Linked DNA regions of Drosophila melanogaster. The protein of the gene in region 1 purifies or fractionates together with the protein of each later gene. This does not show direct contact. Each region holds a gene or a part of one and is shown on either strand. Other genes may lie near its edges.

Region 1 (3,623 bases):
TCTATTAGTTCCGGCTCGTCCGTGCTTCCTCCTGCCTTATTTTGTCCTTGGGAGCTACTTTCCTGTTCGGATTTGTCTTCCGCGGCATCCTCCTTCTTCGGAAGGGAATCAGTGGCCCCATCTTCCTCCATTTTCGTGGGTGGCGATCCTGCAGTATCCTCACTTGAAGTGCTGATAATGGTAATGGTCTCACCAATCTCCTCCACCGCCACCTCGCTGGTCAACGGCTCGGACTCTGCGTCCTCGGTGCCCCTAGTAGATTCACCACCGGACTGACCACGATCCTTACTCTCCTGGGAGGCCACGGCAGCCAGGGGTATATTGTCGTTGGAGTCATCGCTGGATCCAATTACTAGCTCCACAGATTTTGGTTTATCACTGGCTGGGGAACTTTTACTTTGCTCCCGCTTCAAAGCGTCCAGCTTGTCCTCAAAGTCAATAACTTCGGCTTTATCGTTTGATGGCGAGGCTACGACGTCATCCACATTTTTCAGAATCTCATCGTCAATGACACTGGCCATATCAATGTCGATGTCATCTATTATTTGATCAATGTTTTTGAAGACTTCCAGCAGCTGCGCTTCGTTGGGATCCGCCTCGTCGGAGTCTGCTGTGCCAGCTGCAGAAGAAGTGGCTTCGTCTACACCCTGCTCCTGGTTTCCTGACCCCTCTGGCTTTACCAAGCTTCCGCTTTCGTTGGCCTTCGCCGCAGCCATGTTCTTCTCTAGCAGCATGGAGAGTGTGGGTGCCGCCTGCGAGGGACTCCGTTCGAGTGTGGGCGTAGTAGAAGCCTCACTGGCCGGAGGTCCGGTAATAGGTCGGGACATAAACGCCGCATCTGTGGGGCTCTTCATGGTGATGACTGGCTGATTGGCAACAGCTGAGCTTGGACCGCTGGTCAGCAGCGAGGTGATGGTTGGCGCCGTAGCCCTGGCCACGCTGCCAGTTCCTCCGGCTGCTGGTGCAGCTCCTCCTGGGGTGGGCGTTGCAGGTGCATTGCCTGTGGGCGATTTCAGGAGAGATGTGAGTAGAGGCGAAGGACCCGTCTGCTGTTTGCCATTGCCACTGGTGTTTATGTCCTCCACGTCCATATCGACGGAAGTCGTGTCGGCAGCTTGGTTGGAACGCTTGACGGCTAGACTGCTGTTTCGCCAGTTGCTGGCCAGGTCCTTCTTGCGCTGCTCGCGCTCCCGCATGCGATTCTCCAGCTTCATCTCCTCGATGCGGCGCGCCTCCTGCTCCTTCTCGATCTCCAGCCACATGTCCTGCAGCTCCTGCTCGGTCACCGCGTCCGATTGCAGCGACTCAATCTCCCGCTGGATGCGTCGGTAAGTCTCCTGATCCTGACGCATCTGCGCCTTGATCTCCGCCTGACGCTCCTCCGTGAGCCGACGGAGCAGCAATTCTGTGGGCGTCTCCACGGTGGCCGGCGAGGAGACGCCGGCACTGCTTTCGCTGCTGCGCTTCTTGCGCTTGGTGGCCTCCACGCTCTCCAGCAGATTGCCGTACTGCATGGCACAGTTCTTCTGCGAGAACCAGTCCGCCGGTCGGTTACTGCTGCCATTGCCGCAGATCGTCTTCAGCGTGCGGCTCACCGTGATCCAGTTCTGGTCGCCGCTGCAGGAGACCGCCGACGCCAGGATGAGCTGCTCCCGCTTCGACCACGTGTCCAGCGGCATGCGGCTCAGTTGCAGGCGCTCTTGTACCCCGGCAGACATTCTAAACTGCAATTTATTGATTTCAATCAATAATTCGTAAACAAAACAGAATGCTATCGATGACTACACACGAATCTGTAATACTGCCTATCGTCGAAAATGCAGTGTGACCCTAGCACTGCGATACCGATAGGACTGGCTTATCGATTTGCTAGCACCGCTAACCGATAGCAACACAAAAACAAGTTTTCCGAATTTAATAGCCAGTTAAATAAAAAAGGCGTTTCGAAATGGAGCCCATATCACATCTGGTGAAGTCCTCGCTGCCCAATTACTTGTCAAGTCTGCCGGTTCCCGACAGCATCGGCGGCTGGTTTAAGCTCTCCTGTAAGTTTGGGCAATGAGCGTGGTTTTGCCCATTGGAATTTGATTTGCCTTCAAAGGGCGCCCCACATAAACCCAAATCCACGATAATGACGCAGCATCTAGGGGGGCCAACTAAATGGACTACTAAGGTGCAAATGTGGCGTGATATTGCGGAGCTGCTAACGGGAATTGGAAGTGCAGTGTGTGCACTTCCAGGCAAAAAAGTTGCAGCGATTATGCAACAACTGCTGAGCTCGCCAAGAAATTTATAATTGGAGCAAGTTTGTCTCGCAGATAGGCAACTAGATAGACGCATAATACAGGCATACCAACATGGGTATACCTATAAACATATATGCGCATATCTTGGTGCGTTTATAACCCAATATGTGTGTAGGGAACGACCTTGTGCCGGTTACGGCTGATCGACCAAAATATCTAGTTATAAAGCTTAAAATGCACTGCATTCCGTATTAACCTGGTTTCGTTTGCAGTCAAGGATTGGTTGGCCCTGATCCCACCCACCGTGGTGGTGGCCGGACTCGGCTACACCGCCTACCTGGCCTACTGTCCGGCGGCACGGGCCAGCTGCGCGGCCAAAAACAGCGGACGCTGCAACAACCACATCCGCAAGAACGAGCCCAAGGTGGTGGACATGATCGACGTGGAGGATATTGCGGAGAAGGCGGCCTTCTGTCGCTGCTGGAAGACCAAGAACGTGAGTGCATTCTAACCTCTGAAATATTGTGAACAAAATTTTCAATTGAATCCTCTATTCGCAGTGGCCCTACTGCGATGGCAGTCATGGCGAGCACAACAAGCAGACTGGAGACAACGTCGGACCAATTGTCATCAAGAAGTAGATTGCGGCGGTGCATCGATACACAAACGTTCTAGCATTTCCTCTCGCTGAGCTCCAGTTTGCTTTTAAAACCAATAGTAGTGGCCGAAGCTGTTTGAACCCTTGTAATTGTAAGCAATAATTGATGATATTGATGGATTAAGTTAAAAGGAGCCAATAAAATTGCCCAAACATAAATTCAAATCGATATGCTTAATTCTAATTACTAATAAATGCCAGACCTAACCTTTACCAACAACCAAATAAACCACACACACACATACACACACGTGTGAGAGAAAACCGTGCTGTTATTAATAGAAAACCTTTTATTTTTTATAAATATTTTCTGACTGCAGGCGGCTGTTCCGTTGACAATATCATGCTGTGTTATGCTTAGGCGGTTACAAACAAATTCTCCAGTACAAAATGCAGGAGGCGAGACACACGATTCCGCCAAACGTGGGAGGCAGCACGACAGATATTGGATATCTTTAGTGTACTTATCAGTTGGAACTTAAGAAATGGGCATTGTGCTCTTCCTGCATTTTAAATCTCAAACTTTATTGTTACTGCTGCTGTTGTTGTTGTTGGTCTAAATGAGGGCGGCTGCTGCTTTGAGCGGAGCTGGGCTAGGCAGAGATGATTACTTGAAGATCTTGCCCTGGTTGAACTTGCGACCGTCCTTGTCGGTGCCGGACCAGGAGAAGTACTGGGTGACCAGCTTCTTGGTCTCCTCGCTCTTGGCGTCGAGCTTC
Region 2 (6,153 bases), on another chromosome or scaffold:
CTACACAACACTAATAAATAGAGGTGCAAGTATCGATGGCAATAGTCTTGCAGCGATTCGATAGTTTGTAAGGTTCTATCGATAGTGGTCCCGTTCAGCAGCAATTGGTAAACGCATATTCACGGTATTCTCGGAGTATTTAAGTTTCAAGCTTAATTCACTTTTGAGTCAGGATGTTTGTTTGTGCCATAAAACATTTTATAAAACCAAATTGCAATTAAACCTGATTCCAGCTTTTTCCCAATTTTTCCCATACCAATTACCAGTTTATACGTTTCGCTTTTCATAACGATTAAATAATTGCTAATAATTTTATGTAGAATATGAACGCACGACACTTTTATCTGTATATCATTATTTTTAAGTTTAATATGTGATCACTAAACAATAAGGAATACCATAGTTGATAACTATCGATAGTTTGAATATTAAAAAAAAAGAAAAACATTGCCGGTTGGGGATACGATTTTTTACCGTTAAAAAAGGAAATGTAAAAACAAAGCTTTTATTCGTATTTATTTACAAAGACCAGTGATTCAATGAAGGCAAATACTAGTAGCATAACATTTTCATTGTATCACAAAAGCACTTACACAGAATTTATTCAGCCAATAAAACACGTCGTCTGAACTTAACTACCATTAAAAACTTTATTTCTGATTTCGCATTGCATTAAGCGTACGTATTGTTATCTAAATACAAATAATGATGGCAGAGTGTGTTTGCATACGAGAATAATAATTCCAAGATAAAACAATCTCGCCAGCAGAGGCAAATAAAACAAACAAAACAATAAGACGATTCGCATTTTACACAAATGTAGTATGCTATGATACGGATGCTGCACTACCTCCGGCTAATCCTCGCAACTAGGGCAATGATGGTGATAGTAATAATGTTTCGTATGCGTAGGTATGTTATGTGTCACCATATAAATTCTCAAAGTGACACGGATCCCGATGCCGGCGCAACATTGTGGACCCACAGACGGGGTGTTAAAGATAAAGACGGACGGGATGATACGGATGACACTAAGTCTTAGACAAATGTTACGTTAAAACCCTAAGCATAGTTATCGCTATCTTCTAACAACATGAACATGGAGTGGACGTAGGCACATGGCGTTTCTGTGTTGAAACTCGCTCTTAAACTGGGAATGGGAATAGGAGTCGCCGGACCTCGGTCCCAGGTCAGCAGGAACACTTGTTCTTGGCATCCGATCCGGTTGCATCGGCCGCGCTCAAGTTGAACTTGTCGCCATCGGCCAGATCGGCAGATATCAGCTTATCGTTGATGAGTATCTGTCGGGCGAGTGGAAGAAGATTAGCGGGGCTTTGGCTGGGCATTAGCAGCGATTATCACCTTATTCACGAGGGCACGAGCTGCCTCATCGATGTTGATATTCTCCTTGGCGGATGTCTCAAACCAACCGGCAAATCCGTTCTCCCTCACATACTCATCCATCTTCTCGGGCTGCGTTATGATGCCCTGCTTTTCCTGGTCGCACTGGAAAACGGATGAGCAACGTATTAATCACATAATATAGAAATTATGCGGTCTCCTTTAACCTTTAGGCAATCACTTACTTTATTGGCCAGCAGGATGCACGGAATGGGACTGCCGTCCGGCAGCTGCACCTTGGAGTCTAGATCTTCCTTCCACTTGCTCACGCAATCGAAAGTCCCACTGCGAGTCACATCAAAAACGATGAACGCGCCCACCGCCTCCTTGTAGTAGACACGGGTCATGTTGCCAAACCTCTCCTGACCGGCGATATCCCACAGCTGGAGGCGCACTATCGTATTGGCGTCCCACTGCAGCACTTTCAGGGCGAAGTCCACGCCGATGGTGGCCCTGTAGTTCTGGCTGAAGAACTGGTGCACATAGCGCTTAATGAAGGACGTCTTGCCGGTGCCCAGTTCACCAATGACTAGAATCTTGTACAGATGCTCGCGCTTATCGCTGGTGGATGTCATGATGGCCTGCAAGCAAGGATTGGATGAGAGTTACTTGTATGTTCGATCCATGCTTAATAGAATAGTTTGATAAATTTGATACACTAAACAATGAAATCCCACTTGTGACTTGAAATCTCAAGATAAAGAGATACATACTTTTGGGCTCTGGGTTTCAAGATACAAATATAAATAATCCGTGCATTTCGAATTATAATAAGTAGTAAAGTTTGTTCTATCATAGCACGTTTACACTCAGTTATATAAAAGCATATCAATATATAATATAGGAAGTGAGAATTCACCACTTTAATAAATTCTAAGCCTGGTATTAGTTACACCTTCTGCTGCTCGTCAATCCGCACTGAGATTTGCTGGTTAGTTGACGAGACCCCCTGGGCTATTACCACCGCCCGCCGCCCGCACAGTTGAATGACACTCTGGAACACACACTATAAGGGGGCCAACATATCACTTGTGGGGCTTCTTCGCTTCTTCGTAGGTAAATGACAACTGGCGAATTGGCAATCCGACGACGACGAGACCTTACCGGTTCCATTTCCTGATCCATGGTCAGGTCACCGAAGGCCGGCATGGGCTTGGCGTTCTCTGGCTCTGTGGTATCCGCCTGCTCCTCGCTATCGTCCTCGGATCCGGAGTCCTGGTTGGAGTATTCACTAGCCACCGACTGATAGTGCAGTGTTTCCCGCCTGCCCTCGATGCTGTCGTGGTCGCCGAGGATGAGCTGCTGCTGAGCGAAGCTGAGACGCCGGATGCTGGAGTCGCTGAGCTCTTCGTTGGAGTTGGGCTGTTGACTGGCGGCGGCGGCCAATGCGGCTTCGTAGGCACTCAAGGGACTCCTGACTGCACTGCCCACTTCAAAGCGGACAACGGGCGGGGGATTAGCAATAGTCTGGGCGCTTTCCGCCGAGGAGACTCCGTCCTCAGCCGCCGGAGGGGATGTGGATGGGTCCAGGGATTGCTGCCCTGATGGCTGGGGTTCCGTGTTCGCTAGTTCAGCCAGTGGTCTGGCGTTGAGGCGGTGGCCGCGCTGCTGCTGCTGCTGCATCAATTCCAGCTTCCTGCTGGATGCGCTCGAGGATTGGGACTTGCGAACAGCTCCGGTGCCGCTGGCTGACTGAACGCGACTTGGTTTTGCTGGCGCCCGTTCTCTGGGCGGCGTATCGCGCGTGCTCTCGGTGGTGGTGATAAGCGGCGACGGCGACGCCGATGGGGACTCTCTCTCGGGGCTCTGGGGCTTCTTCTTCGACACCAGCAGCTTGGTGGTGCGGGTGCTGCTGCTCGTATCTCTCGTGGTCACGGTGGTGGTAGTGGTTTTCTTTCTCGGTTTCCTTTCTTCTGCGGCGGGTGTCAGATAATCCGTGTCGCTCTTGGGTCTGCTCTTGCCGCTCTTCTTGGCGGGCGATGGCTCCACCTTCTTGCCACTGATGGTGATCTGCAGCGTGCTGCTGCCGGCGGAGGTGGGCGAACCGGGTGGCGATGGCAGGGGTGTTGTTTCCAGGTGCTCCACGCTGATGTCGTCGCTGGTCGCCAAGCTGTGGGGCCGCCCCTTCGGCGTTTTCCCACTTTTTCTCAGGCCTCCAAGAAGCAGGCGGCGCGTCAGGCTCTTTTTCTTGGTCTTGCCGAGGGCTCCACTGTCCGTGGAGATGGAGCTGGCCACGTCTTCGAGCTCGCCTGGGGTTTCCTGAGCCTCTTCCTCCGCGCTGCGTGTTTCCCTGTCGGTGCTTTTATCCAGCTCCCTTTCCCTTTTGGTTTTGGTCTTCGAGAGGCTTCGCAGAGCCGCAGTGAATCGGGAACGGCCCTTGATCTTCGCGGTGGCCTCCTCAGACTCGTCTTTCGGATCCCCGTCCCCCTCCTGGCGGTCACCCTTTTCCTCCGATTGCTCCGATTCCGCTCTCTTTGTAGCTGCTTTTCCCCGCTGCTCGTCCACGTTGGGCATATTTTCAACTGACGCTGTTGATCCCTAGCGATTCTACACAGATTCCATTTGCTCCAGCTTGATTTCCAGTCCTGATCCTGCACGATCCTCGAGCTTTTTTTTTTTAAGCAACCGTTGCCCAGACTAAACGAACGCGCACTAAAATCCCCAGTGCCGACGACTAGGCTTTTATAAATTTTGTATTCGCCCCGTTGGTCCCGCCCCCGCACCATCCCCTTTTGTGGTGAGAGGTTTAGCATTACAGTTACGAAAATCGCTATAGCTGGCCAGGTGCTTACCAACACTGGTTGCCGCCTCCAAATCGCTTGCGAAATGAGCGTGAGAAGAGCCGGTGGGCCTTTGAATGGGCCGATTGGACGGCTGGCACCCGCTTATCAAGCAATCCCCGGACAAAGATTGGCCAGTGTCCGGTGGCCCGCCATAATCGACGCCAGTTGTCCGGCTGGTTAGCCCTGCTCCGGAATCACTGGGCTCTATAATTTGGATCGAGGTAATGCATAATGCCATGATGCCGTGATGCTACGATGACGAGCACCCAATCATCCGGCACAACCAGTGGAGCAGGGCGCCCAGTGTCCATATCTGGACCTGACCTCTCCAAGCAACCCAGAACGTGCTCCGCCGCACTTGGCGGGCTTCCTTTAAGCTGAGGATTTGCCGCATCAACTTGTCCCAAAAGAGTCGCTCGGCATTAAGTGGGCGACACATCAATCTGGCGGATTGGCCGCTGTCTTGGCCGACTGTCGACTTACTGCTCGACGTGACTATATAGAATTACGCTTATTACAAAACGTGGTTAGCCGCAGTGCATCGAGCAGAGCGACAGGGAAGGAGATATGTGGCCCATATACGATTACCCAAGTAATAACCCGAAACGCAAACGGGATGGCACACATATGTATGTATGTATGTATGGATAGATCGTATCTTACAGATGTACGGAAGTTGCTTCAGATCTGACTTAATTAGATATTACAGTTCCTTATACAGGCACTTTGCTGCGGTTGCGATATCATTGAGCAGTGGGGTAGTTATCAATACTTTTAAAAATGTATAGTATTATTACCAAACACCCTTTTGAACTTATAGTTTGACTATAAATTAAATTAAAGAATAATTTATTGGTAAAAACAATATTTGCCTATATTTGATTAGCTTTATGCTTATCACTAGGGTTAGTAACCATTTCAGATTCCTTTAAAACAACCCATTTGCAATATTGCTAGATTACTACTTATCCATCCTGTTTTCTGAAAGCCGTTTTCTTTTGGAGCACTACATCATTGAAAGTGATTGTTCTTTGATGACTTATATTTTCCTATAAACTAATAGCTATTGGTTATTTAGACCAGGCATTAATCAATGCGATTGCACAGTAAAGTAAAGCGTTCTAAATGTAATTCACCATAAAGAGCGCTGTCTGTAGCCTAACCGATTTGCACATTCTGAAATCGGGGACAAGTCAACAGTCGAATCAGCTTACATAATTCATGGGAGATTACAGCAAACACATTTTCTCAAGCCTTAAAAATTCCAGTTACGGAGCAGAGGGCTTTTAAACCATAATGTGCCTTGGAAACCGAAAGCATTAGAAATTCACTTTCGCATAAATGTCGAACGTGGAAGAGTTCCTTTGTGCCCGCAGATGTTTACACGCAATCCAGCCGGAAAACAGAAAACAGAAGAGCTATGCGAAGCATTCGGCCTCCATCTGAAAGTCAGGCGCCTGCAAGTGCCCCCTGACGACCCCATTCCGAACAAAAGCCACACGGATGCCCCGATGTGGCGAAGTCCTGCACGGACTTCTTTTCCGTAAATCGGATACCGAATGGCAGTGGCTAGGAGCCCCCCACCCGCATCGGCCAGCAATCACGTGCAAGTGAGCTCAACAAGAGGAAGTGAGCACGTGAATGAGTTCCTGGAATGGAAACTACTGGGATTGCATGTATCACGGCAGGCGTAAAATCAAGCGAATCTAAAGACACCTGTCTTTTTAGATAGCTTGGGAAAGTACTATTATGGCTAAGCCCATTTTCAGTCGTTTAATCCGAAGGTTTCTAACTGAACCCCAAAAGTATGCAATAAAATCTGATATGTAAGTGTAAAAAGTAGAATAACAAGTTGACGGCGGTGTTAGTTATTGCAAATATTTGTCAATTTGATAAGGAATACTATGCTATTAAAACCAAAATTATTTTGATTACTAAAAGTCCATGATTTAAGTAATTGTTGAAGTAC

Evidence for each region.
Region 2: the proteins of Cisd2 (region 1) and Rab32 purify together in Drosophila melanogaster (affinity purification with western blotting; one study listed by BioGRID). This does not show direct contact.

The regions. Positions count from the first base shown.
Region 1 is NT_033777.3:29,221,665-29,225,287, reverse strand, and holds Cisd2 (CDGSH iron sulfur domain 2), read left to right. Parts: upstream 1-1,859; 5' UTR 1,860-1,948; coding exon 1,949-2,045; intron 2,046-2,518; coding exon 2,519-2,742; intron 2,743-2,806; coding exon 2,807-2,887; 3' UTR 2,888-3,071; downstream 3,072-3,623. Other genes in the region: Brd8 (bromodomain containing 8), read right to left, coding at 1-1,718; eEF1gamma (eukaryotic translation elongation factor 1 gamma), read right to left, coding at 3,512-3,623.
Region 2 is NT_033778.4:9,177,244-9,183,396, forward strand, and holds Rab32 (Rab32), read right to left. Parts: upstream 4,056-6,153; 5' UTR 3,916-4,055; coding exon 2,506-3,915; intron 2,104-2,505; exon of another isoform or gene 1,983-2,103; coding exon 1,587-1,982; intron 1,507-1,586; coding exon 1,363-1,506; intron 1,302-1,362; coding exon 1,191-1,301; 3' UTR 621-1,190; downstream 1-620.